3 linked regions of the Caenorhabditis elegans genome follow. The protein of the gene in region 3 purifies or fractionates together with the protein of the main gene of each other region. This does not show direct contact. Each region holds a gene or a part of one and is shown on either strand. Other genes may lie near its edges. The genes, in order: gst-7, Y22D7AL.10 and aldo-2.

Region 1 (10,017 bases), on a different chromosome or scaffold from region 3:
AATGTTACCCAACTTCCACCAGCTCATTCATTTGGAACATGTTATGGCAGCTCCATACAACATGACTTGAAGAATGTTCAACATACATCGCTAACACCAATGATATGAGTCGTGTTTTCAAAATTCCATTTTAAAATGTAACTATTATAAATTTTGGAAATTTCAGATTTTTCAGAAAATGTGTGATTTGCCAATGTTTATCTTGTCGTTTTTCAGTCAAATAAGTGTAAACCTCTTTCAGAACAAGTTAAATCTTACCAGAAAGCATATGAGACGAAAGTTTTTTTACAAACCTGTGACAAACTTTAATTGAACCAAAATCATGTAGAATCTGGCCAGACTTCCAAAAATATATAAAGTCGTGAAGAGCAAAAATAGATATTGTAAATTCAAATGTACAATTTGGAAACTTTTCACAAAATAATTGAAATAAACCATTAGAAACATTCCAACACAAATCAAAATACTTTCAGATGCATAAATAAACTGTAGTGTTGGCGTCAATGGAGCATTTATATCCACTAAAATTGGCACATCAAATGTGATATTGAGCCATTGGCCCTCCACCAATGGAATTGGCTCAGCAAGTAGTGAGAGAATTTTGGCAAGAAATTCCTGGATAATGTGCATTTTATCTTTAACTCAAAATAAGGAAAATGTTTTCTAAAAATAAGGAGTAGTAAGAGTAAGCATGAAATTATATATGCAGGTGGAGTAATTGATCGGGTTCAGAAAACGCTTTTAGATTATAAAGTTTGATGTGAATATCTATAGAAACGAATGATCACTTGTAATCGAATTTTAAAGAATGTTCGCCAAAACAGCGGTGACATGGAGGCGTGAGTTATGAAAAAAAAACTCAGAGAACAGGAAGTGTTAGCACATTAGTTGCAGTGTTGGTCAATACAAATAGAACATATAAAATCAAAATGTATTCATTAGAATATCAGTAATTTTTTAACTTTGAAAACCTTTTTTATTCGTTAAAATTCAAGATGCCCTAGTATTTTTTTACTAAGTGTTGCACAGATACTTTTAAATATTTGAATAGTTAACTTCAGAAAAATGGGGTTACCAAAAGAAACGGAAAAGACAGCTCTAGGCTAATAGGTTTTCTCTATATAGTTATATTCAAACAGTGTACGTTGAAAATTTTGAAGGAATACCATTTTGTTTAAAACCTTAAAAAACAGACATAAAATATTCATTACATTTTGATACGGGTTTATTCATTGCATTACAGAAGGAGTATCATCAATGAGGGAAATTTCTTAAAAATGTAGCTTGTCGCGAATACGATGGAGAAGAATCTCCAACGATCACGACTTTCATAATTAGAGTCACCAAGTGTACTGTTAGTTTAACTTATATAAAATACCACTGAACGCAATGCGAAACATAGCTCAAATGCTGAAACTTACCAAAAATAGGTAAACGGAAAAAAATCCGTTAACACTGTAAATTGTGCCACCAAACGAAAGTGACTCAAAGATTTCAAATGAAAGTGGTAACAACTTTAATAATTTTAAAGGGACAGTTTTAAAACGTGATTCTCTAAAACCAGGTCTGTCATTTATTTATCATTCCCACTCAAAACAGGTGAAAATGAACAACTACACTAGAAAGAAAAACGTAAAACTTTGTGATCTCAAAAGCAAATCGGCAATTATTTCAGAGTCGCGAGAAATACACGTACTAGGCTAACCCCACAATTTGTCATGTTACTTATTTTTTGTTCGGTTAATTCAATCAATTGTCCCTGCCATGGAGTATGTCCTTTCACAGCTCAACGAACAAATTTTGATTTGCAAGTGAAACTTGGGCTCGATGTGTCGGAATATGTTTCAAAAAATGTGATATTAATTTAATTGATTATATAAAGCAGCTGCAAAATTGGTATTTTTTCCTAGAATAATTTTCGAGGAATGTGTACCGACTATTGAACAGAACACATTTTGTTCAACTTGTGCAAAAATTAGAAATTTGCTAGCTTTTCATTTTTGAAAGCCTTTCAGGAACGTACTAATTGACAACGAAAAACTTTTTCACTTTAGTGTGCAAAACAGAATTGATCCCTTTTCAGAATAAATCGACAGAGATAAGGTAAACAGTTCAAAAACAATTCTGAACGATCATTGACATAACTACAAAAAGGTTTGATCGAAAGTTAATAATCATTTCCCACGCTTGAGTCTTGTCATATCTAAATTTAATTCTCCCTTCTGCCGCAATTTTACATTACTCAGTTTTCCAAAAAACCAAATGATTACTCAACTAAAATTCAATCAATTTTTGTCTATGAATTATATTTTCATTGTAGTTTATTCAATTTCAAAACTAGAATTGAACGATTATTTAGAATTGAGTCTCTGGACGAGTTTCCAACCACTTCTTGATATTGGCATTTGAATGAACCTTCTCCTGATGCGCCTTAAATTGTGGGAATTCTTCGAGAAGAGCTGGATCAGTACTCAATATATCCGCAGTGTGCTGAGCAATGAGCAAATCCACAAACGTCAGCGAGTCTCCAACCAAGTAACCGGATCCTGCAGTTTTAAGGAAATTATAAATGAATCCGTAGTGCTTCTTGAATCCTGGAAGAAAGACATCCTTGGAAAGAGCATCAAGATCTCCTTCAGCAAATCCCATCTTCACCATCACATATGGACGAACTTCGTTGCGATAATCTTTGAACTGATCAGCGATCGAGTTGACTTGAGCCTCCTCCCATGCACACTTTCCATTGATTCCGAATTGACGAGCCAAAAAGCGAGCGATAGAATGAGATTGTGGAAGAACCTTTCCATCGACCTCTAGAAGTGGAAGTTGCCCGAATGGGGTGGCTGAAAGTCATTGTTAAGCTGCTTGAACTTCAGAAACTTCAAAAATTACAAATAGAATGTTTGAGGAAAAACTATGTTTCTCGTCTCTTTTATATGTTTTTTTGATGAAGCCAATGACAACTAAAAAAACATCTGATCAATTGAATTGAACTTATTGTTAAATAGCTTAAACTCACTTGGTTTGACAGCTGCCCATTCCTCTATTGAAATTCTATGATCCTCAAAGCTTTGTCCAGCATATACAAATATCTGTCGAATAACCTCTCCAGCTCCACGGATGGGGAAATATGATAGCTTGTAGTGGACCATTATTACTACCACTTTTCAAGTAATTGGGGAGTACAAGTCTGTGATACAGTTTGAAATAAAAACCAAGAAGTTTCTATTTATACTCATATTCTCTAAGTGTGTGTGTACTGTTAAGTCATCACTGCTTTGATCGCACTCTGCTGACAACAAACCACAAATATAGTTTGGCGTTATGTCTGTTTCAATGAACTGGTTGAATTAGATAAATGTACATTAAAATAAAGAGTATATTGGAAACTTTAAAGTTTGTCATCATTTACTCTTCCCACTGCGCAGATGTTACTGACAACTCAGTTCAAAAAGTGCCTTTTCATGATGATTCGGATGTCTGAACAAATATATCGGTTGCTTCTGCTATCTTATTTTTTAGAGAACTTTTCAGAATAAATAGATTTCAATGCAATCATTTATCCCATATCAATACAAAAATACATAAAGAGACCATGTGAATTTGGAAATCATTTAGAATGGAGTAACTGGACGAGTCTCCAACCACTTCTTGATGTTGGCATTCGAGTGAACCTTTTCCTGATGAGCCTTGAATTGTGGGAATTCATCGAGAAGAGCTGCGTTGGCAGCCAGAAGATCAGCAGTGTGCTGAGCGACGAGCAAGTCGACAAAGGTCAAAGAGTCTCCAACCAAGTATCCGGATCCAGCCGACTTGAGGAAGTTAGCAAAGAATCCATAGTGCTTCTTGAATCCTGGAAGGAAGACGTCCTTGGCAAGAGCATCGAGATCTCCTTCAGCAAATCCCATCTTCACCATGAAGTATGGACGAACTTCGTTGAGGTAATCCTTGAATTGATCAGCAACCGAGTTGACTTGAGCCTCCTCCCATGCACACTTTCCATTGATTCCGAACTGACGAGCCAAGTAACGGGCGATAGCATGAGATTGGGCAAGAACCTTTCCGTCAACTTCAAGGAGTGGAAGCTGTCCGAATGGAGTGCCTGAAAAATAATATAATTAAAACCTAAAGTTCAAAGTTTTCTTTGAGTAAACAATCATTGACTCCAAACTTCTATCTCTCAGTCATACCAAGCACTTTGTTTACATCTCTAGGTGTCAAACTGCCTAGAGTTTAGCCTTGAATTTTTTTTTCCTTTTTCAAGGTCTATTCATTCGAACACCGAAATTTCAATAACTTTCAAAAAGTAACTCAATAACAACTTCAATCTACTCTAAAGGCAAAAAGGCAATTTGTGTGACCTAGTTAATAGGAACAGGAAAGGTAAGGAATATACCGTACCTGCTACTTTAACGGCTTACATCTCGGTTCTCTTAACTTTTATCAAAAAATGTTTAACTGACAATATTTAAAAGTATATTCTTCACGTATTTTGTCAGTCAAAATTTTTTTGATAAAACCAAAGACAGCTTAACTAAAAGCCTGCAACTATTTCTAAAATGAATTTTTAATTTGGAACTACTTATAAGATTTCAACTAACAATTTCAATATCTATGCACCTATTCAAACAATAATTTTCAATCCCAAACTCACTTGGCTTGACAGCTGGCCATTCCTCCTTTGGGATTCTGTTGTCCTCGAAGTCTTGTCCAGCGTAGGCCAAGATCTGACGAGCAATCTCTCCAGCTCCACGAATTGGGAAGTACGATACCTTGTAGTGGACCATTGTTGAAATAACCAAGCAAGAAATCGAGTGGTCGATGAGAAGGGTTGAACACTGAATGCCGGCCGTCTCTATTTATACCCATTTCTCAAATGTCTGTCGTCTCTCCACTCACCATATTCTGTAGTTTGTCATCATTTGCTCTACACATTGCGCGCACGTTGTTGACTAGAAATCATAAAGTGTAGTCATCGTTTTTTGTTGTTGCAATGTTACGATGAACAGAGTAGGTCAAAATAATATTGGTTGAAAAAAATATATGCAAGGTTTTGTGACTTTTCCAGATCTTTCGAAGGGAATGTTGTGTCACAATTTGTGACTACTCACAAATATAAACCCATGGCATCAATCATCTTGTTACGCTTGCCATTATTATTGAAGATACCATGATAAGAAACTACTATAACTGACACAAAAAGTCACAAAAAATATTTTTTTTTGTTTCTGAAATTTTTCCGACAGTACAACACAATTTCATAATCTCGCGCAAAAGAGGCGTAGGCATTTACCGCAGCCTACGTGCCTGCCTACAGCCTAATTTCTGGGAAGGTGCCTGATGAACAATGATTTCCTATGGAATTTGTCTTTGAAATAATTTAAGTCTCACTTTGAAACACAAACGTGCTTTCTTTTGAGGGTTATACACCTGCCTTTGAAAAGACTATCCTCCAAAAATAAATAAAAGATTACATATTTATTGTGCCCACCGAAATTTGAAAATTCTTATTATGTTCATGTTCCAGAAAACGACGCTTTTGTAATTTTTGACAATAAAAGTCAAATTAACATTATGACGTGATTGGTTTTGTGCTTTGAACATTGTGTCTCACCAGGGAATGTTCGGAAAGTTTTAGCTATGATGGTAAACCACAAAGGAAGGCGGTGTAGGTCTGATTTGTACCTAAAAGCATGCCTACTTCCCAGGCTTTTGTAAATATCCTGTATATTTCAACACTCTTGCAATGCAAAAAGCTTCTATAGAAACATCCTGCTGAAAACTTTACCATAAAATTTTTAAAAGAACAATTCATTCAAGATATTTTAGAAACATCGATTTCCATTAAAACAAATTAGCAAAAAATTGCTTCTTGAAATATGAATTAAAAAATAATACAAAATTGCAAACTCATTTCAATTTAGAATGGGTAATCTGGACGGTTTGCAATATACTTCTGAATTCTGTCGATGCTCTGAACCTTCTTACGATGTGCCAAAACCTTCTTGAACTCCTCAACAACTGCCAAATCTTTATCCAAAATATCTTGAACGTGCTGCGAAATCAAAAGATCCACCCATGTCAAAGAGTTTCCAACAAAGAAACCACTGTGATTAGATGCCAGAATGTTCTCGAAAAACTCGAAATTCTTTTTGAAAGCTGGAACAAAAACATCAGTTCTCAGTTGATCCTTGTCTCCAGGTTTGAATCCAGCAAGAACTGTTAAATATGGGGAGACATCGTTGAGATAATCCTTGAATTGATCAGCAATTGCATCCACTTCTGCCGCCTCGGTGTCATTTTGTCCAGCAATTCCGAACTCTCTGGCCAAGTACCGAGCAATTGCATATGACTGTCCCAATGGTTTTCCATCGACTTCCAAAATTGGCAATTGACCGAATGGAGTGTCTAGAAATTTGAAATTTGAGGAGAAGTGTTTTAAAATAAAATCTAATCTTAATTTTAAAAAAGTATGAAGGTCTTAGAAAATTTTTCGGATTAGTTCGATCTCCAGGAGCGACTTTTCCACAGTGTCCAAGATGTTGTCAGAAAGCACAATTCCATAAAAAGTTTCAAGCATCAAGTTTTCCTCGTACCTACAACCTTTTTTCTGAACTTCTGACTGATCACCCTAAATCAGGAAATAAAAAAAACAATCAGAAGCATAATCCCAATTTGCAAAGTGATTTTTTTAAAGTATTGAATCATGGAATACTGTTCTAGTTCGGATGTGAAAAGTTAGAGAACTTTTGTTTGCAATTATCTACAATTTAAAAAATAAACAAATACCGAAATGTATGAAACGTAGTTTTCAAGTTTTGAAACCATTTATCTTTGCCAAAAGTGTATAAACTCACTATTTTTGCGTGCTGGCCATTGTTCAAAGCTCAGATTCTCCTCGGAATAATCCTGTCCTGCATAGGCAAAGATTTGTCGAGCAATTTCAGCACGGGCTCTTAATGGGAAGTAGACGAGCTTGTAGTGAACCATTTCGTGAAATTTTTTCCTACAAAATGAATGTGAATTATCATCAAATACTGGGTTATTCTTATCATTTTTTGTGTGCTCTACTATCATTATTTACTTTTCAATATATGACTGAAGATATTTGATGACAAAACCAAAACTTGAGAGCACAGCGTTTTTCGGATCACTTTCAAGATTGACTATAGTATGATCAACCGTGATTTCAGAAATCAAAAAGGCTTTGAGAGGATAATTAATTTTAAAGCTTTATGGGGAATATACAGTCTGTTACTTCTTGATATCATGTCAATTCTTGATAATTTCTTTTTTGGAAAGACCTGAAATTAAGAAAAAAACACATAATTGCTTACTTATTAAAATAGATTTAGGAACATTTATAGGATGCGTACAATTTCGCCGATTAAAATTGAAATTCTGAAATTTTGGTAATTTCTGATTTCCGGCAAAATGCCGGTTTACCGTTATTGCCGGTTTCCCGTTTTTTTGCCGTAAAAAAACATTTGCCGCTCACACCTGAAGTGCCTTAGAGTTGCATTTCTTTTCCTATACTTTCATATTTTCAAAGTTCCAATCTTGGTATACATCACACTCAACGGACCAAATAACTTCCTAAAATCGCTAAACTGAGCATCTTCAAACTGGCGTATCTCGAAAAATACAAGTCTGAAAAACAATTTTTAACTAACAAAATGATCAGAAACATTTGTTCTTTCTATTACATTAATTTGTATATCAACAACTTTTTGTAGAGTTACACAGAGTCAAAGCCATTTTTCCAAAATTCAAAGAAAAATTTGAGAACTCTTTTGTTGTACCCTTTATAACTCAATATTCATTGAATTTCAAAAGATAAATTTTGTTAAGTAGTAAGTGAAAAATATTTCTCCACATTTTATCCGTTTTAAGTTTTTCGATATTTTCATGTTCCGCCAAGTTATAGACCGTTTTCTGAAAAAATCCAATCTCCGTCATAAAAATCTTCATATCCAACGTATCGACTTGAAATTTTGAAAAATGATCATTTTTTTGAGGTTTCTACAATGTCCTAGAAAATCTTTCAAAAATGTGGGCTCATCTCCAAAATCGTCCTCCGCTCCAAAATAAGAAATGGGACTTTTGCTTTTCGAAAAATGAGCGGAAAAATGAAATTGCGATTTTTGGGTCGAAAAAAATATTTTTAGAAAGCTGAGAACACGCTATTTACGAATTTCATGTTCATTTTAAGTGATTTCTTCTCTGAAACGACCTAAAAATTCTCTGTGCAACTCTGCAAATAATTAGTTTTTTGCAGTGAAAAGTAATGCAAATAAAAGTAAAAATATTTTGAATCATTTTGTTAGTTAGCAATTTTTGCTCAAGACTTGTATTTTTCCAGATACGGCAGCTTGAAGTTACGCAATTTAGTGGGTTTAGAAAATTAAGTTGACCACCGAGGCTTCCACTTTTGCTGGCAAGTTTATCCGTTTTGCAATTCAATTTTTTCAAATCTGCGATATTAGTAGAATTTTTGATTAATTGTTATTATCGTGAATATAGCAAAAAAGTGAACATTCACATTTTTGTGAAACTATTTTTTTGGAAATTTACTCTTGCTGGTATGACTATACCTTGTTTTCAGATATCATTAACTTTTTATTCTCATTCCATTTCTGTCTCACTCATTTTCATTTTCAATCCTTTTCTCTCTTTTTCCATCACTTTTTCGTTTTTCATCGTCGGACGGACGAGAGACCTCACCAAGTACCACACCACAACAGGCAGCAGTTTATTAGCAAGTTTCTCACGTCTCTCGTTTTCAGGAAACGTTGGAAAATGGAAGAATGATGAAAGAAGAAGATGAAGAAAGCCCTGTCATTGGTTATGGTTCTTTTTTGAGAAAACGGTTATTTGCGGCTTGATTGATATCGCTTTTCATTGGCAGAATGAAAAATGAGGAGAATTTTTGAATAATTAATGGGAAGTTAGTGTCAATTTTTACAGTTGTGCCCACTTGAAATATAACATATTTTTTAGTATCTATCCTGTTTTTATATCGACAAAGAATTTAGGCTAGTTTTTGTAAAAACCCATATTGAAAATTTTAAACAAAACACCTACTCGTTGGGTTAGTTAGTTAGCCTTGATATATAGTTTAAGCTTGTCTTGAATTCTCCGAAAAATTACAAGCTGGCACTACTTTTGGCAATTTTTGGCAACCTTTCAGGTTTGTGTACAGATATTTCTGAAATATCTAGACACTTAACGAATGTTGTAATTGAACATTACACGTATTCGGATCTGCAAAAGACAACATTTTGATTGTTAAAAATTATGATTTCAGTTTCTAGCAAGTTGGAATAGAGATACTATTTACTAGAAATGTTTAAAATAGTAAGGAACTAGTACTGACTTCTTGATCTTCCGGAATCTGTAACTTTTTTCAACGCCCGATTTCTGCGAATGTGGAAATTTTTATCTGAAAATTTAGAAGCTCCAGTTGTTCGCTAAAGTTTATTATGGAGGTACAAAATTTCAAAAAAGGGTCCGATTGAGCTATTGTCTGAATTGCCTGGAATATTTCCAAGTTTTTCTTGTCATAAAAATTATGTTTTAGAAAAAATGCCAATTGAATAAAAAATGCAAAAATAAATATACTTCAATCTAAAGTTCGTCAACTATTTTATAGCGAGATCAATCTAGACCGAAATACGTACGAGCACCGCCTTATGCGAAACCGCAAAGTTTCAAAGGGGAGAAGAGCCGGAACTTGTAGAAAATCATTCCAATGGTTCTAAAATAAACAATTAATTTTCTATTTGCAGTGATAAAGTCTAGATTACTCAATGTCACCACTCATAAGTTTGGAAGCCTATTAAAAAAACTAGTTTTTCTACGAGTTGTACATATACTCTAATTTTTTTCGAATTACTTGGATTAGTAAACTGTAGGTGTTAAAGCATGTAAAATTGCTTTAAATTTTTCAGTGAGCACAAAGTGTTGGTTAATTGATTTATTAACCAAAACTGTGACTAAAAACTTTCCAAAACTTTA
Region 2 (10,335 bases), 4.3 Mb from region 3:
TGTTCGGTAGAGCGCGCTTGCATTGAAACTGGAGGAAAAATCGATATTTTCTCGCGAATTTTGATTGAAATTTGTGTTTTTCCCCGAAAAAACATGAAACTTTTAACTTTTACTCATTTTCAAAAAGAAAATTTCAAAAAAAATTTAAAAAAAAAACAATTTTTTTTTGGAATTTTTTTTTCAAAATTTTGAAAATTCCCAAAGACCCCCACCGATCACATATTCCCTGAGCACGTTCAAAAACTGCTTCAACATCATCCATAATTCCTTCCAGCTGTGCAATTCGAGCAATTTGCAGAAGCCCATTAAGCTTCTCCAACGGCGTCAAAACCCCCAAATCCACGTATTTCTTCCACAAAACGTGGGCGGAGCCTGTGTCTTTTTGGTGCTCATAAATGATGGCAAGAAGCCGGAATGCGTTGGCTTTGTGCACAGAAATTTCAGCCGGAAATTCTGAGTTTTTAGAATTTTCCTGATTTTTCGCAGTTTTCAGTACGAATTTCGCGATTTTCAGCGCAGTTTCCAGATTTCCGGCGATTATTTGTGTTTGGCACAGCAGACAGTAACAGTGGAGCATCTGAAATATTGATTTTTGCTAGAAAAATTAAGAAAAATCGATAAACCCGGCGGAAATTTTGAATTTCGCGGGCTTTTGTCTTTGGCGGCAAGAGGCATGTGCGCTCCATTGATAATCAGTTGAAATTTGCAAATTTTTAACGTATATTGAGAGTTAATAATTCATAATTGTCCCAAAAATTATAAAATTCTGAAAAAAACACCGAAAAATCGATAATTCTCGGAAATCGATTTCTAGCTGTCGGAGCAAGTGCGCTCCACTGATAAAATAGTAATTTTTGCCAATTTTGAATAGTTTTTTGAAATTAAAGTGGATTTTTTAGAAAAATCAATAATTTCCAAATAAAAAATCCAAAAAATCGATAAAATTCAAATTTTCCCAATTTTCGCGCCAAAAAGACCCACCAAATCCAAACTTTCGACATTTTCTCGAATGATTTGATTCAAAAATTCAATTGATGAATTCAAATCCTCCAATTCCAGCATACACTTGTTAATTGTATCGATTAACTCGAAATTTTGATTTTTCGGGTTTCTCGACAGCGGAATTAGCGTCCGCAGAGCCATTTTTTGATCTCCTTGGAGATGATGGGCTTTTCCTATGAGCTGACAGATTTCTACGTGAAATTCTGAGGTTTCAGGTGGAATTTTGAAGTTTAGGACCGTGAAAATCTGCTCCGGGGCGCCGGTTTTCAGGTAGAGGCCACAAAGTTTCAGGATTTCCGGCATATTCTGAAAAAAAATATTGATTTTCGTGAAAGTTCGTTATCAAATTCGAGTTCTCCGTCATTTTTTACACCGGGAAAGTTTTTTTTTGAGCTTCTCACTCCAATTTTGAAAATTTCGGGGTACTGTACTTTCGAAAGTACGCAAACACCAAATAGCTGACGACAAAATGCAGAATTTCTCAAATTTTTGCAAAAACCATGTGCCTAGGGGTAAAATAAGGTGCTGAATCCGAATTTGTTGGTTAAAATTTATAAAACTGAAGTTGAAAAGTCAAAAAGTGAGTTTTTATGAATTTATTGTCAGGAAAATTGTCTTAAAATTTAGTTTTTCGGATTTTCATGTAGAAATTTGAATTCCTCGTTAAATTTTGCCCCGGCAGCTTTTTTTGTGACTTTTCAGTGCAAATATTTAACATTTCGGGGTACTGTACCTTCGAAAGTGCGCAAACACCGCAGTGTTTACGACAAAATGCAGAATTTTTCAAAATTTTCCCGAAAAAAAGCTAGACAGGGGTAAAATGACCGCCTGAATACGAATTTCGTAATAAAAATTCTCGAAAATTGAACTTTTCCCACAAAAATTTTAATTTTCATGATTTTTCTGAATATTATAGTAAAACTCACCCCATTTCTCGATAAAATCCTTCTCTGTTCAATTGCCACTTGAAAATTCTCACAGAGCTCCGCAATAGTTGCCAGGTTCTCTCGAATTATTGAAATTGATGGGGTGTCTGAAAGTTTAACATTTTTCAGTTTGAAAATTGCAGAAAAATGGTGTAAAAGTCAATTTTTATTAAATTTCAGTTAAAAATTCGGCTTCAGAATCGTTAATTTACCCCTAAATCGCTTTTTCCGCAAAATTTTGAGAAATTCTGCATTTTGTCGTAAGGTGTTCGGTGTTTGCGTACTTTCGGAGCTACAGTATCCCAGAAATTTTCAAAACTGTTCTAGAAACCCGGAAAAAATTTATCCAGGTGTAAAAACTGAGAAAAATACAAATTTCTACACTAAAATCGGAAAAAAAGAGTTTTAGCATAATTTTCCTGTAATAAAGTCCCAAAATCTCATTTTTTGAACTTTCAACTTCAGTTTTAAGAATTGTCACTAATGAATTCGGATTCAGCACCCCATTTTACCCCTAGGCATATGGTTTTTGCAAAAATTTGAGAAATTCTGCATTTTGTCGTAAAATGTTCGGTGTTTGCGTACTTTCGGAGCTACAGTACCCCATAAATGTTCAAAATTGAGCTAGAAACCCGGGAAAAAATTATCTAGGTGTAAAAAAGACGTAGAATCCGAATTTCTTATTGAAAAATTGAAAAAATTTCAAAATCACCCATTTTCATCGCAATTTCCAGTTGTTTTTGGGTGAAAAACAGCGCGTCCTCGTATTTTTGAATGGAGCAATAGGCGGATGCAAGTGCTCCAAATGCTGATTCCTGGAGCTTCACTGATTCCAGATTCAGGTCCAACGACCATTTTAAGACTTGAATTGCTTCTGAAAATAAAATCGATAAGTCATCGATTTTTGCGGAAAACGTTAAAAATTGATTTTTTTAAAATTTTGTTAATGAAAGATAATTTCCCTATAGGGGCGATAACATTAGTTATCGATTTATTGATTTTCGGAGAAAAATATCGATTTTCTTTAAATTTTGCAGGCGAAAACACTTTTCCATTGAAAAATCGATAATCATCGAATGTGTTGCAAACCTGCCGACCGCGGCCGGCGGCGGGAAAAATGGTTAGTGCCGACGGTCGCAAAAATGGTTAGCGCCGGCGGCGACCAAAATAGTACGCTCCGCCGGCGGTAAAAATAGTTCGCGCCCGCAGCGGGCGGCCAAAATGATTATCGCCGGCGGTGGCCAAAATGGTTATCGCCGACGGCGGTAAAATTGGCTAGCGCAGGCAGGCGGCGCGATTCAGTGTACGCCGCCGCCGGCGCATAAGCTTGCTCCAACTTTCTCTAAAAATCAATAAAATCACCTTCAACTTCTACCGAATTATTGATTTTTTGCTTCTCCATCTCTAAGAGCATAGTTTGTCCCAGCGTAGACAAAATCGTTGGCACATGTTCATCCAGTTCCAAAACCTTCAGATTTTCCCACGGAAACATCGGAAAGTGATCGAAAATCGATAATTTCAAACTTTTCAGCAACTGAAACCCGGCAGGATCCAGCCGAATTCCGTTACAATACGAATATATTGATTTTTTCAAAAATCCGAGAGCCCGCTGAGCCTCTCCCTGCCGGTAATAGGCTTTTGCCCATTGTGGACACAATTTCACTGAAATTTCAGCATGTTTCAGAGCTTCCGGGGGCAGTTGAATTTTGAGAAGAATCGCCGACAGATTTGCGTGTAGGATTCCGTTTTTCGGGTGGTCTCGCAACGCTTTTTCGTAGAGTTCTCGTGCTTCTTGGTACCGCCCGTCTGAGTAGGCGGAGCCCGCCTCGTGAACCACTTTCTCCAAGTTTTCGTTCATAAAAGCGCTGAAAAAATGGGAATTTTGAAAATTTTTGTTTGAAAAAACCGGTTTTTTCAGAAATTCATAAGAGTTAGCATAAGCCTAAGCCTGGGCCTAAGCCTAACCCGAAGCCTAAATAAAAACCGACATTTTCGTGGCGAGACCAAAAATTTTCAAATTTGCTGAAAAATAGCCAATATGGGTGTCAAATTGAAGCTTATGAAGTGGAAAAATTAAAAATTTTAGTTTAAAACATTTATCGCCAAGCTCTCCGCCCACTCGACAATATTTAAAAGTATGAAAAAAAAACTTTGAAAAATTTTTTTTTTTTTATTTTTCGGAAAATTTCAAAAATAGCCAATATAGGTGTCAAATTGAAGCTGATGAGGAAGTAAATTCAAAAAATGTTTAATTTAAAATGTTTAACGTTTAATTTTTTAGGCCAGACTGCAAAAAAAAAATCCCCTTAAAAAATTCTATTAGAAAAACGAAAAATCGATACAAAACTGATGAGAAAACTAAAGACGAACACAACATTCGAAATAGGAAAATGAAGCAATTATATAAAAGAGAATTGACATCAGCGCCTTCATTCCCGAAATCGGTGAGCGAAAGTTGATGCGACCTTGGGGGGTCTTGCGGGATTTATGGGGGTTTACGGCAGTCTGGGAGAATTAACAGCTTTTATGTGTTACAAAGTATTACGCATTATCACTAATTATCAGAGTTTTCAGTAAGGATAAAAAAAAATATTTAAAAAAAAATTTTTTTCAAAAAATAAATAATCGATTTGTTTTCGCAAATTCATAATAACTGATATTGATTTTTTTCAGAAATAAACTTCAATCTTTGCAGAAATCAATAAATAATCGATGTTTTTTTATTAGAAATCGAATTTCTCAGTAATAAAAAAAAATAAAAAAATTAACTTTCAGATTTTTAATATTTTTTTTAAAAATATAATTTGATTTTATTTGCTCCAGACAACCTTTTCCTTGAAAAATTCTTGAAAAAGAAAATGAGGGGTTTTGAAAATTTTTTGAAATTTTTTGAAATTTTGAAAAAAAAAATTTCAAAAAAAATTTTTTTCAAATAATTTTTTTCCAAAAAACTTATTTTTCAAAATTTTTGAAAATTTCCGGCAAATCGACAATTTGCCGGAATTGAAAATTTCCGGCAAATCAGCAAATTGCCGGAATTGAAAATTTCCGGCAAATCGGCAAATTGCCGGAATTGAAAATTTCCTCTAAAATCGGCAAACCGGCGATTTGCCGGAATTGAAAATTTCCGGAAAATCGGCAAACTGGCGGAATTGAAAAATTCTGGCAAATATGCAAATGGGCAAATTGCCGGAATTGAAAATTTCCTCTAAAATCGGCAAACCGGCGATTTGCCGGAATTGAAAATTTCCGGAAAATCGGCAAACTGGCGGAATTGAAAAATTCTGGCAAATATGCAAATCGGCAAATTGCCGGAATTGAAAATTTCCTCTAAAATCGGCAAACCGGCGATTTGCCGGAATTGAAAATTTCCGGCAAATCGGCAAACTGGCGGAATTGAAAAATTCTGGCAAATATGCAAATCGGCAAATTGCCGGAATTGAAAATTTCCTCTAAAATCGGCAAACCGGCGATTTGCCGGAATTGAAAATTTCCGGCAAATCGACAATTTGCCGGAATTGAAAATTTCCGGAAAATCGGCAAACTGGCGGAATTGAAAAATTCTGGCAAATATGCAAATGGGCAAATTGCCGGAATTGAAATTTTCCTCTAAAATCGGCAAACCGGCGATTTGCCGGAATTGAAAATTTCCGGCAAATCGGCAATTTGAGCTTGTAATAGGCTTTGGATATAGTCCAGAGAGGTCAAGCTTTCCAGAAGAAATCAAGCCGATGGCAGTGGGATAGCTGAAAATTTCCAATAATTGGCCACCTTGGAACTAGGAATGTTGGCGCCAAGCTGTCCCATTACGGTTTGATCTACAAAAAATGCGGGAATTTTTCGCCCAGAAAAATGTGAATCTGCGTCTCAACTCCCGCATTTTTTACTGCAAACTCAAAATAATGGTTACCAAGGTGAAATTTATCGATAAATTTGAATTTCTACATGAAAATCAGCAACATTAATTCTTGCGCTGAGAACTCACAAAAAAGGTTTTATGGGTGAAATTTAACGAGGATTTCGAACTTTGACATAAAAATCAGCAAAAATGAATTTTAATTCAGTTTTCCTGAGGATAAAGCATAAAAACTCATTTTTTGACTTTTCAACTTCAGTTTCAAGACTTTTAACTAACAAATTCAGATTCAGCACCCCATTTTACCCCTAGGCACATGGTTTTTACAAAAAAGTGAGAAATTCTGCATTTTGTCGTAAAAACTGCGGTGTTTGCGTACTTTTGAAGCTACCGTACCCCAAAATGTTCAATATTTGCACTGCAAACTCACAAAAAGGTTTTTCTAGGGTGAAATGTCACGAAGATTTCAAATTTTTACATGAAAATCTGCAAAAATGAATTTTAATACAATTTTCCTGACGATAAAGTCATAAAAACTCATTTTTTGACATTTCAACTTTAGTTTTATGAATTTTAACTAACAAATTCAGATTCAGCACCTCATTTTACCCATAGGCATGTGATTTTTACAAAAAATTGAGAAATTCTGCATTTTGTCGTAAGCACTGCGGTGTTTGCGTTCTTTTGAAGCTACCGTACCCCAAAAAAAATGTTTTTTTTTGTTGAAAATTGGAAGGAAAATCCTCAGTTTGCGTTCCAATTCGAATTACCGCCAAGAGTTCAAGATGTTCGATGGAGCGCGCTTGCATCATTTTAGTTTATTTTTGGATCTTTTTGACGGGAAATTCAATTTCCAAAAAACCGAAAAAAAATCAGTAAAATAATGCAAGCGCGCTCCATCGAACAAATTAAATTGGCGGCAATTCAAAATTTTTCAAAAAATTGCAGAAAAGCGCTAAAAATATTTAAAAACGGTTAAAAAATAGCTCAGAGCTTGAAAAGGTTCGACCACTGCCGTGTCTTTTAAGTACGCCGTTTGTTTTTTCCGGTTCTCCAAGCCACATTGAGCTTTTCTCGGTTCGCCCTGTCACATCGAAAACATTGTCTGTGGCCAGAGAACAAGAAAAATCTGAAAAATCATTATTTAAAATCGAAAAAAAAGAAAAACAATACCGGCGAAAAATCAAGGAAAAAAGGAACTATAACAATCGATTTTTTCAACAAAAAAGAGGAATTTCCTAAAATCTAAACTCAAAAAATTGAAATTAAAAAATTAAATAAACAGAGAGAGAGAGAGAGGGGAATAATTGAATGAAGATTTGTGAGACCGAAAGCCATATGGAAGATAATTTAATGGAAGACTCCGAGAAGATCAGACTCGCGGAAGATTGAGTATTCCTTGTCCTCGACGACGACCTGAAATTGGGGAAAAATTGTTGGGATTTCCTGCGAAAATCGGTCGAAAAAATATGTTTTTGCGCAATTTTCGCGGTCTGTAAGCAAAAAATTAATTAATTTTCAGGTATTTTGTCAAAATTTTGGCCTAAAACTATATTTCACTGGAAAAAACTGACATTTTACCGCCTGAAATTCAGTTTTTTTGGCGTAAAAATCATATTTTAACCTAGTTTTTCCTTAAAAAACGAAGGAAATTTGGGATTTTTTCAAAGAAAATGCTAGATTTCCGGTGAAAATCGGCACTTTTTGTGGATTTTCAGCGAAAATAAACTGATTTTCAGGTTTTTTCCTAATAATTTAGAGCGAAAAACCCATGAAATTCAGTTTTTTGGCGTAAAAATCGTACTTTAATTCAGTTTTTCTCGAAATTCGTTCATAAAAATGAATTTTTACAGAGAAAATGCTAGATTTCCGGTGAAAATCGGCAAATTTTGTGCAATTTTCGTTGGGTTTTAGCGTAAATGTACTATATTAAAGGTATTTCCCCAATAATTTAGAGCGAAAAGCGCGTGATATTCAGTTTTTGGGGGAAAAATCGTATTTTAATACAATTTTTCCTGATTTTTCTGAAAAAATCTTGGATTTCGGCTGAAAAAACACAATTTTTGTGCAATTTTCGTTGATTTCAATGACTTTTCAGTAATATAACGCTACTTTTACACTGAAATGTTAAAAAAAATCCCGATTTTCGTCCAAATTGTGTGAAATTTCAACGGAAATTCAGATTTTCACATTAAAAATTCGCCAATTAATCCATATTTTCGCTCGAAATTCGTCGCATTTTGTACCTTGGTGCCTCCGTATTCTGGGAGAAGGACACGATCTCCTGGCTTCACAGTCAATGCGACGAGCTCTCCCTTCTCGTTGCGAAGTCCGGCTCCGGCAGAGACGACGGTGGCTTCAAGGACCTGAAATATTCGAAAATTAGGTGGAAATTGCTTTAATTTGAGTGAAAATTCGGTAATTTCGGATAAAAATTGGACAAAAACCTCCGCGAGCAGTCGGAGAGCGTGTTGGCAGGGAAAATCGATAATTGCATCATTACACCAGACTTTACGGAATTTTCGGTGAAAATTAACATTTTTCGTATAAAATTGAAGGTTTTTAGCTAGAAACTGTGTTTTAGACGCCAAGTTGCACCATTTTGACGGTGAAATTGGCATTTTTGTGCTAGAAATCTGCTCCAAGACGTTGAAATTTATCAGTTTTCACCTGAAAAATCAATTTTTAGGCCAAAAATTGCTCACTTTTCCCTGTGACTTCTCCGGGAGCATGATTCCTCCCTTTGTCTTGGTCTCGGCGGCGACTCTCTCGACGAGCACACGATCATAGAGTGGCTTGAAGGTCTTGAGGACATTGCTCTGCAAAAAAATACGCGTTTAATTCGGAGAAAACACCGGGAAAATAGCTTACCGATCGGCGGACAGCGGTGAGGAACATTTTTCGGCTGAAAAATTGGTTTTTTGAGTTTTAAAATTTATTTTTAGCGGGAAATTACATGAAAACAACGAAAAAACCCGAAGAAACCCGCGAAAATTCAGAAAATGATCAAAAAACCAAAAGAAGCTTCGAGAAAAAAAGCAGAAAATAAATGTGCGGCGCGAAAAATCTCGTGCGGCAAACTTGCAAATCTAGGCGTGTCGGGCCAATGGCAGACACCGCGCCGCAAATTCAGCCAATCAGCGCGCTCAGCTCCACCTAGAAAAGTGTGCGCACCTTGCAAAACTGGGCGGAGCGAGTGAAATGATGCAAAAGTCTATTCTGATGTAAATTAGCCATTTTACATCAAAATTTGCGTCATTTTCGTTATTTTTCTCTCATTTTTCATATTTTGAACGAAAAATTGAGGTTTTTTGCTTCTATTTTCATCAGAAACCATTGAAAAATGCTTATTTTTGGGCCATTTTTCGTCGAAATTAGGGGAAAAAACTATTCTACAGTTTTCCCAGCTATTTTCTCATTTATTCCTGTATTTTTCAGTCATTACCTGCTTCCCAGACGATAATGCAAGGCTTCTCGCTTCATTTTCATAAAAAACGATTGAAAAATGCTTATTTATAGGCCATTTATCGTCTAAATTAGGGGAAATATCTGTTTTACCGTTTTCCCAGCCGATTTCTCATCCATTCTCGTTATTTTTCACTCCTTTTCTGCTTCTCAGACGATAATGCAAGGCTTCTCGCTTCATTTTCGATGAGAAACTCTGATTTTGCTCGCATTTTCGCCTTTCCGCTGCAGATTTTCACACAATTTTCGTAGTTTTTCAGACACAAAAGATGCTTCGCCTCGCCAGAAAGGGACTTCAGACCGCCGTCGTCAGATCTTACGCCAAGGACGTCAAGTTCGGAGCCGAAGGACGACAGGCCATGCTCGTCGGAGTCAACCTGCTCGCCGACGCCGTCTCTGTCACTATGGGCCCAAAAGTACGGGGATTTTGATGTGAAAATTGAGGAAAAAATGCTGTAAAAAAATCTATTTTAACGTATTTTTATACACAAAACTTCCGGTTTAATGCAAAATTTAATTTTTTTTTCTTCATAAATACAGCCTCTAAAACTCCAAACTCTTTCAGGGAAGAAACGTGATCATCGAGCAGTCGTGGGGAAGCCCAAAGATCACAAAGGACGGAGTCACCGTCGCGAAATCCATCGACCTCAAGGACAAATACCAGAACCTGGGAGCCAAGCTCATTCAAGATGTCGCCAACAAGGCTAATGAGGAGGCTGGAGACGGAACCACCTGCGCCACAGTTCTCGCCAGAGCCATCGCCAAAGAGGGATTCGAGAGCATTCGTCAAGGCGGAAACGCTGTCGAGATCCGTCGTGGAGTCATGAACGCCGTCGAAGTCGTCGTTGCAGAGCTCAAGAAGATCTCCAAGAAGGTTAATACCGGGAAATTGTGGATTTAAATTCAAAAGCCACAGTGATTTTTGGAAAAATTGGGATTTTTGACCCAATTTTGAAGCGATTTTCATTTGATGTTAGAGGAAAAACTAGAATTTCGCTCAAATCTGCTTGAAAATCGCGAATTTGTGGCTAAAATCAGTTGCCAGGAATTCAAAATCTTCAAAAAACCGTCATTTTTTCCCAATTC
Region 3 (10,335 bases):
TAAAACTTACGAGTAATAGTTGAAACAATGGCGGATGGTAAGTTAAGAATGGCTCTTCTTTGACTATTTCCAGCTCTTCTTAAAGTATATCTCCAGATCATGCATCTCGGACGGCACGCAACACAAAAATATGCTTTTATAAACTGCTTGGTTTTGTTGAGAAGTTTTGCGTTTCTGCGGAACGTCAGCAAACTGAACACATATTGAAGATCGGCATTCTAAAATTTGGCATTTTTTCATAGAAGCTGAAACAAAAAAAAACTCACAGAGAATACACCTGTTGCTCGAATATTGTAAGAAGTTTGTTGGCAATGCGAGAGATTCATTAGACTTAAATCGATTTTATCGAATTTTGACTCTGAATTTGTGTTGGTCGTCTGTCCTACAATTGTTCCTCTCAGGTCTTTAATGTTTGACTTTAGCGCATTTAGCTGAAAAATCAAAAAATGGAATTTTGAATTCCGGGCTATCAGAATTCTGACCATAATAGACGTTCCAAGCATTGCAAACCTTCCATCAGCCGCCGATGGATTCACCATACCTTCTACCAGCGATTCCATAGAAATATCTCCGAGAAATGTGGCTTCAGATATTCCGCAACGGATGGTTCTCTCCAATGAAGCTTCATTGAGCGTTTTATCCGATGTCGACACCATCACACGTGTTCCAAGCTCGATTATATCGATTTTCTCTGAGGCAATGTTTTGCTCAATTTTTTCTGAAACAATAATTGAACTTTTAATATTTTATTGATAATTTTTTTACCCATTCGATGGATTTTTTTCATTCTTTGAGTCGTCTTAAAATCTTTAATATCTTCTTTTGCATCATTATAAGAATCATATTTTTCTCCGCCCATATAGTCCTCTACATCGACTACGTCTTCCATTTCCATCATCTCATCTTCGTATGAGCCGTGTTCAGAGCTTTTGAAAGCAAACGGAATTACTATAAAGAACATTTTTTAATTTTTGAATAAAATTATTATTTTTAAACTTACTTCTATTTGAGTTATTCATATTTTTGTGGTAAATTTCTTGAAAAAAAATAATAAAAGGAAAATAGAGAATAGAGACAAACCGAGAGAGACCAGAGAAACGTTGTCCGAGAGGAGTGCACGGCCGAGAAAAGTCCAACACCTTTTTGCGCGCTAAATTTGAATTTAATTTGCCGCACAAAAATTTTCCTCCCTTTCCAGCCGCAAAATAGAATTTTCTTGAAGTTTCACATTTCCACACGAGAAAGCTAATAAAAATAATTATGTTTATAAACAATCAAGCAATTTTTGTCCTATGCAAGTATGCATGAACCGAAAACAGCGTTGGTGTTTTTATAAAACAACATATTTACAAACTCTAGGATAGAAAAATGAAAAGAATATGACATGATTCGCTAAAAAACAATTAATATCATTGAAAAACGCAAGGCAAATGAACAAAAAAGCAGACGTGAAAATTCTAAAAAGTCTACCATAAACTTTTGCGCGCCGAGACCCATCTGAAAAATACATATGTATATAATTCATGAAAATTCCAATATTTTAATTGTCTATTATATTGCTATGTTCATGTGTTTTGAGCCTCTTCTATGCTCTCCAGAGCTCTCTGTTCGCCACATGTGTTGTGTAATTCGAAACAGCCGTCACTTTTCCTCTGTTTTTCATTTTTTGAGTGTGTGATGCTGCTTGCTCTGCCTTCTGAACTTTGCCATCATGCATTTTCGAAAGAGATAAAAAATCTTGAAAGTTGAGCATGAAGCACCCAATTGTCTCTGGTGACACTTTTCACCTCATTTTCAAATCTCTTGCGTCATTCAGCTCGAGCCATTCGTCTTTCGATTTGACCCGGTTATTTTGTACAATTTTTAGTAGAAAAAATTAGTTTTTTGGGTCCTGACACGAGCTAAAAATTTTAGTATACAGTATCTGTAAGTATTCAACCAGTTCCCACAATTTTTTGAAAACTTGTTAGAAAAACTTAAATTACTGAGAAGTCTTATTATATATCAGGAAATATGAAAACTGTCAAATAGGAAACAACTTTCTGTAAGAAGAATGAAATTCTACAGTACTCGCGGGTACTGTAGCTGAAATATTTCGCTTGCTCTAGAACCCTGATCGTCAATTAAAAAAAATTGGCTAACTCGGCAATATTTGAGAATTATTAAGTTAATCGGAAATTTCAGAAATTGAAAATTTTCAGACATTTTTTTTAAATCAATAATCACGAAATGAACGATGATAAACTACGGAGCCTATTTGCATCTCTTGCAACTCTCACACAACAAGGACCAATTCCAGGTGAGCTATTTAAGAAAATTCGAAATCGTTCTTTGTATGTAGAATCAGGCAAATGTGCCTGCTCACGCCTTGATCCCGTTATTTAGTGAAAAGTGATGTGGATCGTCGCGGGACCCACAATTTTAAAAATTCGAGTTTCAGTGCAAGCCTACAGTATGCTTGCTGGTCAACATTCTACAGAAGTTCTCGCCGAACACATGAGGCTCCGATGGCTTTCGGATGGACGCTTTGGACCAGTTGCTGCAAATATACTAATGCACATCCATAAGGTAGTTCTGTACTACGGTAACCTCAAAAACCACAAATTAAAATTCCAGTCCGATCCAAAAGACATTTCATTATCCTCAAATGTGTTGGCTCTACTACTCAACGACTACCGTAACCGGCTTTCAGTTCGAAACGATTCTCGACTTATGTTCAGGAATTGTGTGAAGACACTTTTTTCGTAAGCAATTTCCAATTTTTTTTTTCGAAAGAAACTATCGTTTTATTCCAATTTTCGAATGTTTCTTGTAGTCAGACACGCAATTTTGATATCATATGATATATCATGTTGAGGTATTGTTGAATGAGAAAGGGTGTGTGCCTTTAAAGAGTACTTTAGTTTCAAAAACTCAACACTGCAGAGCTCTGATGAATTTTTATTGATTTTTCATAGTTTCCCGAAAAAAATATGTGTATTTATTAAAAACTCAAAATAAAAAAAATAGAAATACATAAATACATTTTAACAAATCGTGAGGAAAACTATTTAAGATTTTGAAACTACAGTACTCTTTAAAGGCGCACACCTCTTTTTAGTTAACATAAGCTTGTCGTGGCGAAACCAGGGACCTTATTTTTCTCACATGAATCGTAAGTATTTGCTTGCAAAGAATATAGAAAAAAAACGCGAGAACTGGAATTTTCCAACAGTAAAATTAGTAGTTGAAATTCGATGAATTCATATTGAAATATCCGTTCAGAATGTATCCAGTATATGTGAAAATGGACGAATGTGTGTCAAAATGCTTCATAAAACCAATGTTCTCATCTTTGGATGCACTTATTGATGATGCTCCAGATACCGAAGATCTAGAGGTTTCCACAGAAACATTTTTCTGAAAAATCTAGAATTTTTTAATTTCAGACAGCCGGGATACTTCTCAGCGAGAATGGTCGCGTTCTTCACGATTTGAATTCATATCTCGTCGAACGAATCATTGTAAAATTGCGTCATAAACTTATCAGTGAAGATCCAATTGTCACTAAACATGTCCGTCAAATATTCATTCATGTGAGGAAGATCAGAGAATGATCAATTGATTATTTGATTTTAGGTGTATGATCTTTGGGCATTTGGATGGAGTGAGCTGAATATTCCTGAATGTCTTCTCACTTTGAGTGCAGAAGGGAAGCTATCGATTGTTGATCAGACACCACTTCGGAAGAATGATATCAGCAAGCAAGAGTTCGGAAGCAAAGAGAGCATTGTTTGAATATATTGAAGTAGATCCTTAATATTCCCACTTTTGGTGATTTTTAGTTTTCGGGTTTCATAAAATATAAAATTTCGGTGAAATAAAACTTCATTTCGGGGTCAGTGAAATTATACAATCTTGGGGACGAGGTTGCGAAAAATCTATTCACAGGAAGTTATGCGTCATCGCTTAATAGGAATGCTTGGCAACGAAGAGAGACTCGGCGGCGGCTCCAGCTGCGTCTTCTCCGGCGTACTTTCCGAGAGATGCATCTCCATTGGCCTTGGAACGGTGAAGGAGTGTCTTCTGAGCGGCAGCGATGTTCTCGTCTTTTCCGCCCCATGCCTTGAGCACAGAAGCTTGAAGAGCACGTCCATAAGAGAAGGTGAGCTTCCATGGCTTTCCGAGTTGAACCTGTAAATAGAAATGAGTGATATAAGGTTATTCCATTTCGTTTAAATTTACCGAGTTAATAGCATTGAGGTTAGCAGTGGCATCAAGTTCGGATTGCCCTCCAGACAGGAAAGTGATTCCTGGAACTGCAGCTGGAACTCCGCGTCTCAAGGCGGTTACGGTAGCCAATCCAATTGCCTCGTGTGAAGCTTTCGACGCGCTCGATTGTCCTGGAGTAACCATGTTTGGCTTGAGAAGAGTTCCTTCGAGATACACGTGATGATCAGCAAGAGCCTTGTACACAAAGGCAAGAACTTGCTCAGTAACCTTCTGGGCACGAGCCAAATCATGTTCTCCGTCGCAGAGAACCTCTGGCTCGACAATTGGAACAAGTCCGTTGGCCTGGCAGATAGAAGCGTATCTGGCTAGCACATTGGCGTTCTCGAGCATTCCGAGGTGAGATGGGGTGTGAGTTCCGATGTTGAGAACACAACGCCATTTGGCGAATCCACATCCTCCCTTCTTGAAAGCAGCGGCACGTTCGGCAAGCTTGTCGAGCCCCTGGGTGGTTCCCTCTCCAATGGTTCCAGCCAATGGGACAACTCCGAGATCGAGCTTGATTCCTGGGACGATTCCTTGCTTGATGAGAAGATCGGTGAACTTCTCTCCCTTATCGGTGCTTTGATGGAATGTCTCCTCGTAGAGAATCACTCCGGAGATGTGCTGGTTGAGATTTGGAGTAGTGAACAGGAGTTGACGATACTTCTGACGATTTGTCTCGTTGTTTTCGAGGTTGATGGCATCAAGACGCTTTCCGATTGTGCCTGCAAATTGATCGGGTCACGATGTGCTGCATTATAAAAAAGAAGAAATCGGTCTTCCCCAATATCATTTCTACATGTTATCTTTCTTTCTATCTACAATTTTATCTATCACTCGCACTATCAATGCATCAACATCTCCAATTTCAACAACATAAACATCGAAAATTGGAGGCGATAGAGGGCACAGAATATGATCGCTAGACCGTGAAAATTTATTTTTTGAACTTCTGAACATAAGTCGCTAATTCTTATTGAATAGAAAAATTGTCAAAAGATGATTGTGAGAAGATAAGAATCTCGATTTTCTAGTTCTAGAAGAATTTTTCCAATAGCTCACCAGTGGATTCATCGGCGGCGAGGATTCCCTTTCCATCTTGAACAATTTTGAGAGCGATTTGGTGAAGCTCGTCTTTTTGAGCCTAGAAATACAACAATTAAACTAAGAAGGGCATTACAAAATGATGAATGATCAACAAACCTGGGTAAGAGAGTCCTTGAAAGCGCCTCCGACAGTTGCCATCGTGAAAAATAGAAGTGATGCGAAATGAAATGGACGGTCGAGAAAATGGGGAGGCGGAGAGTGTAGAGAATCAGTACAGTCGCCGAGAGTGTGCGCAAAAACGGGAGACGGCGAACGGGCGGCGCCAAATATTGTTGGCGCGCAGAGAACTGAAACGTGATATTCTTGTACTACTTTAGGATGATCGAAAAATTCCGAGATAGAAAGTTTTGAGGCCTATTTTTAAAGAGTATGTCAATTCGGCAAATTAATCTATAGATAAAGTAGATAAATCCCTTAAAAAAACTACACAAAAATTTTTTTTTAATTAATAAAATTGTGCACAATTTTTTAAAAACAATTTTTCACAATTGTGCAGGAATTATTTTCTTAAGTTTTCGGCTGTTTTCTTATAGAAAAAACCGAAAAATTTGGAAATGAAAAAATGAATCCTAAAATTGAATTTAAATGTGCGGTATTGTCGTTGTTAGTCGTTGGCTTGCGCTGCGAGACCCATTTGCGAAAGTACGCCTCTCTTTAAAAGTATAATTAATTCTGATGTTTTTTCTTTAGAATTTCAGTCTTAAAACTGAAGAGTTGAAGTGATAAGAATTAAAAACACCTCACTCAGAGTATTCGTTGTACAGATCAATGATAACTTTTATTATCGTGGCGTGAGAAATGGGCAGACAGAGACTGTTCTCGAAAGCATCCGAAATTCACCAAAAACTTTCATCTTTCGGGGAACCCGGAGAACGAATCAAATGAGAAGGATAGTCACGTGGATTTGAATCATACGAATAATTCAATCTTATGAATCTCCTTTTAAAACGATTCACAACACAATAAATAATATTTTGAAGAAGGAAACCCGTGAGAATACAAAAACAAAATATTGGAATTGCAAAATGCAAGGGAAGACATGATGACGTGAATCTTGATAAGAGATGGTGTTCGATGGAAATAGAAGAGTTGTGAAGAAGACGATAACGGTATGCAACTCCTGGATGCATATGCCATTCAGACCAGTTGGCTGGAAATTATTCTCATTAATTTTTTATCATGTTGTTAACTAACACAAAAATTTAGACAGTAAAGTGGACATTGTACTTTGAAACTTTCAAATTTAGTCTTCAAGTTATGGTTCTTCGAAATTTTTTAACTAAAATTAATACCATGCTTCATTGAGTCTTGAGTCTCCTTCCGTATTCCCACTTCAGTATTCGCCACGTTTGATGACGAACACCAGGCTGAAAACCGTACTTGCTCAATTCCTGAAATTAAATCATTACAAATTTGTTGATATATTTCAGCGTAATGAGACCCATACCATAATTCACCCAATCTGTCCATTCGGACCATTTTTTACTAATTGGACACTCATCTGGGCGGCAATCTTCGTAATCCTTGTCACATCCCTCGCAGGAATTACCTTTGCAGTGCCGAGTTCTGAAACTTGGGTTACTGTACATTTCCCAATTGTTTGAACCTACCGTATCCTCAGGCTACGATCACAATCGCATCGAGACCATGGATTCCAGGATGTCCAGGATCCAAAAAGATACTCCGGTACATTTGAAGAAATTGCACAAGATTGCTTCTCAACTTTCTGGCCAGAACAAGTGGTACCAATTGGTAAAGGATTATTACACGTTCGTCTTCTTTTTCGGATACCTTCTCTACATTTCGACCATTTTGACCACGTTGACCAACCTCCTGGACGGATGCAATTCCAAATCTGCATCAAAATTTTATTGAATTGGTTTTTATCTTTTTGAATGTAGAACCTTAATTTCTCCGCCTTGTTTCGAACATTCACAGAATATACCATTATTAGATGCACACTTATTAGAGACAACTTGAGAATATAAAATGCTAGAATCATTTAAATTAGCCAACGAATATGAGAAATTGACGAAAACGAAGATATTAAACAAAACCATGACAATCATTTTCTATGAAACTCAGTTCTTACTGAATAAGTGAAATTTCTACACCCATGTTTGTTTCTCTTTTCAGATTTCGACATTCCTTCTCCTTTTCCATCTTTCAGATGTCGCCAGATGGCAGGGTTACTGTAGAAAATTTCACTTTTTGCAGTGTTAGAGTCGCGCTCCATTGCTACGCGTGAGAGATAAGAGACGGCAAAGATCTTTTTTTTTTGTTTCTCGGGCGCTATCATTTTAACTTTTAAAACTAGTAAATCTCATGATTTCTCTTGAAATTTCCATTTATAAATTTTCAAATTTACAGCTAGAATGACGGAAAATAAAGTGAATATCACTGATAACCTGGAAACCTTAAAGGAAGGCGAAATTGTGACAGACGAGAAGACCGGGAAGAAATATCGTGTCAAGAAAAATATTATGCCACATTATTCAGCTGGAGGACCACATGGATTAGGTAATTTTTAAATCAGCTTGCGGTTTTTACCATTTAAATACAATATTTGTTTTCAGGTGATCCAGAAGATCGGACTTTGAGGAAAATCGAGGCAGATGTGATTATTCCGAATAGAATGAATACCCAAATCGAAAGAGTGGATTGCAACGAATCTTATTTAGGTTTGTGAATTATTGAAATCATAAAAATAAAAGCACGATTATATAGAGTTCTATTTCTACAACAATTTCAGGACTCATCACTTGCTTTCGAACCGACGGTGCTGTTTCTGGCTTGAACACGTGTAAACCAGCTCTAGAACTCTTTAATCGATGCAAATATGAAAAGTCTGGTTATTTTAATGTATCTCAAAATAACAAGAACATATTAAGATTCCACGATCCAGCCTTCCGAGCAAAAATGACTGACGAGTACATTGCGGAACGATCGGCAGCTCGAGCTACTGGAATGACATCGCAGCAACGGAAAATTGAAGAGTTTCGGGATTGGAAGAAGACAAATGAGCAAAAGTAGAATTCTTTCTTGTTTTTCATAGTTAATTGTTTCCTTGTTTGTAGAATCAAATACAATCCATTTCTTCTGGTTTTTATACTTTTTATAGTTATTATTGTCAAGTGTTCGAGTCACTATATATTATCTCATATTCTTACCATTTCTTCATTCTAAAAATATTATTTCCAAAAACTCGTTAATTCATGAATTATTCTTTCACTTTACATTTTATTTTTGCCAGAGAATATAATAGTGCAACGACGCTCCGTTGAAAATCGATACGCGCTCTGTTTAGTTGCCAGTAAACTACGAAAACGCTGGTCCGTTAAACTTTATTGATTTTACTCTTTTAACGTTGTACGCAAAATTGAAAATTTTCTGCTAAATAGTTATTTCTGTCTGTTCTATTTCAGATATGGGGTTCGTTATTTTCTTTTTTAATTCTGAATGTGATGTTCGAAGTCGATATGTTTCGCACAAAAATAACTAAAAATTAAATAGTTGCTATTTAAAAAAGTAGGCAGCACCATTTTTTCAAACTAAAGTACTAAATAAATGCTAATTTGGAATTAACTTTTCGACGTGAACTTTTTTTGTCGAATATTATTGATTTTTCCTAATCTCCTTCAGTTCTTCTTTTTCTTTACAGAGAAGAAGTTATGTCAATTCCAGTGCCAATGGAGACAGGAGCAAATTCCGAAGCTTGGAAAAAAGCGAATGAAGCATTAATGAAGGTTTGTAAATATTTCATATGAACAGTTGTTTCAATTTGTAATATTTCAGATTCAAGGTGGAATGTCGAAAGGACTGAATGCATCGAATGGTAACAACAATACAGGTCAGAACTCTTGGATGAACAACTCGTTTTCGTTCCCAAATCCCCCATCCGCTTACGGTCAATTCGGTGGTGGTTTTCATCCATCCACGTGGGGCAGCGGACCGATTGTCCCACCACCACCACCACAACAGTCGGCGGTGAATGCAACTGCTCAAGCAGCTTATAACCAAGCATCTTTTAATTATGCACCACCACCACCACCACAGAATTGGAATAACGGGTACGGAAGAGGGCGTGGCGGAGGAGCCAACAACTGGAATCAGCAACAGAGACCTCAGCAGTTTCAGCCATTTGCCTTGAACAGAAAGAATAATTCGTCCGCATTTCCGCATCTAACTAGCACGTTCGTACCGCAGGGCGGAGGTCCACAGCCATTGATGGGAGTTGGTAGAGGACGCGGTGTTCCAGCTCCAGGACCAGCCAAGCCACCACCTCCATCAGCCCAGTAAGTTTTCAATTAATTATCATCTTTGTTTTTATTGTTGCAAAATTATTCAACATTCTATTTTTTCAGACGGTACATGGAACGTGCTTTCGAGGCGGCGAACACTGTCGAAGATCGTCAAAAAACTCAAGAATACCTTCAGAAGAGACTTTTCCCTATGTTGAACGCAGGCAATGCTCACATGGTCAACTGGGACAATGAACCGTTGCCCCACGAGAAAAATTATGAGCTAGCTCCAGCGTGGACGCCAGCTAATAAGCTTCCACATCAGGCTAATGGATTTAATAGAAAAAAGTCGCCATCGCGACGGCGTAGTGATGAAATGTCTAACAGCGGTGCCGCTGGTGGTGGAGGACAAATGAAACGGGCTCGTCGGGATAGTGATGGGGCATCTTCTGATTCTGACAATAGCGATCCCCTTGAGAAAATGCACTTTTCTTCTATGAATCAGGTTTCGATAAAATTAGATAGGGAACTGGGTGGTGTATTTGGGCACGGAAACTTGAGTAGTTCTGCTGAAATTCATACTTATAATAGATCTTTAAAATTACTAAATGTGACTAATTCCATTCAGAAAAAGACAAAGGCTCAGAAAAAGGCTGAAAAGGCAGCGAGAAAGGCGGCTAAGAAACTGCAGAAACAACAAACTCCGCAAAAAGTCAAGAATGCTTGGAAGGTAGCT

What was found.
Region 1: the proteins of aldo-2 (region 3) and gst-7 fractionate together in Caenorhabditis elegans (co-fractionation; one large-scale study listed by BioGRID). This does not show direct contact.
Region 2: the proteins of aldo-2 (region 3) and Y22D7AL.10 fractionate together in Caenorhabditis elegans (co-fractionation; one large-scale study listed by BioGRID). This does not show direct contact.

Annotation. Positions count from the first base shown.
Region 1 is NC_003280.10:4,876,889-4,886,905, reverse strand, and holds gst-7 (putative glutathione S-transferase 7), read right to left. Parts: upstream 4,815-10,017; 5' UTR 4,788-4,814; coding exon 4,655-4,787; intron 4,103-4,654; coding exon 3,615-4,102; 3' UTR 3,548-3,614; downstream 1-3,547. Other genes in the region: R05F9.7 (Serpentine Receptor, class E (Epsilon)), read right to left, coding at 294-630; gst-8 (putative glutathione S-transferase 8), read right to left, coding at 2,356-2,843, 3,020-3,152; gst-6 (putative glutathione S-transferase 6), read right to left, coding at 5,921-6,408, 6,858-6,990.
Region 2 is NC_003281.10:1,610,241-1,620,575, forward strand, and holds Y22D7AL.10 (10 kDa heat shock protein, mitochondrial), read right to left. Parts: upstream 8,690-10,335; 5' UTR 8,683-8,689; coding exon 8,656-8,682; intron 8,604-8,655; coding exon 8,490-8,603; intron 8,151-8,489; coding exon 8,031-8,150; intron 7,201-8,030; coding exon 7,135-7,200; 3' UTR 6,911-7,134; downstream 1-6,910. Other genes in the region: Y22D7AL.9 (Tetratricopeptide repeat protein 7B), read right to left, coding at 213-577, 982-1,308, 1,929-2,035, 2,641-2,802, 3,291-3,786; hsp-60 (Chaperonin homolog Hsp-60, mitochondrial), read left to right, coding at 9,519-9,665, 9,815-10,123.
Region 3 is NC_003281.10:5,870,826-5,881,160, forward strand, and holds aldo-2 (Fructose-bisphosphate aldolase 2), read right to left. Parts: upstream 5,646-10,335; 5' UTR 5,497-5,645; coding exon 5,455-5,496; intron 5,396-5,454; coding exon 5,314-5,395; intron 4,977-5,313; coding exon 4,225-4,976; intron 4,174-4,224; coding exon 3,949-4,173; 3' UTR 3,853-3,948; downstream 1-3,852. Other genes in the region: F01F1.11 (PAP-associated domain-containing protein), read right to left, coding at 11-218, 267-431, 483-718, 766-948, 1,001-1,019; F01F1.3 (MIF4G domain-containing protein), read left to right, coding at 2,230-2,299, 2,441-2,568, 2,617-2,744, 3,265-3,379, 3,429-3,575, 3,619-3,777; mig-21 (Abnormal cell migration protein 21), read right to left, coding at 6,195-6,508, 6,651-6,749, 6,806-6,924, 6,969-7,213, 7,263-7,427; F01F1.2 (COX assembly mitochondrial protein), read left to right, coding at 7,734-7,878, 7,935-8,039, 8,111-8,204, 8,250-8,391; hpo-10 (SAC3/GANP/THP3 conserved domain-containing protein), read left to right, coding at 8,786-8,790, 9,020-9,104, 9,154-9,653, 9,723-10,104, 10,228-10,335.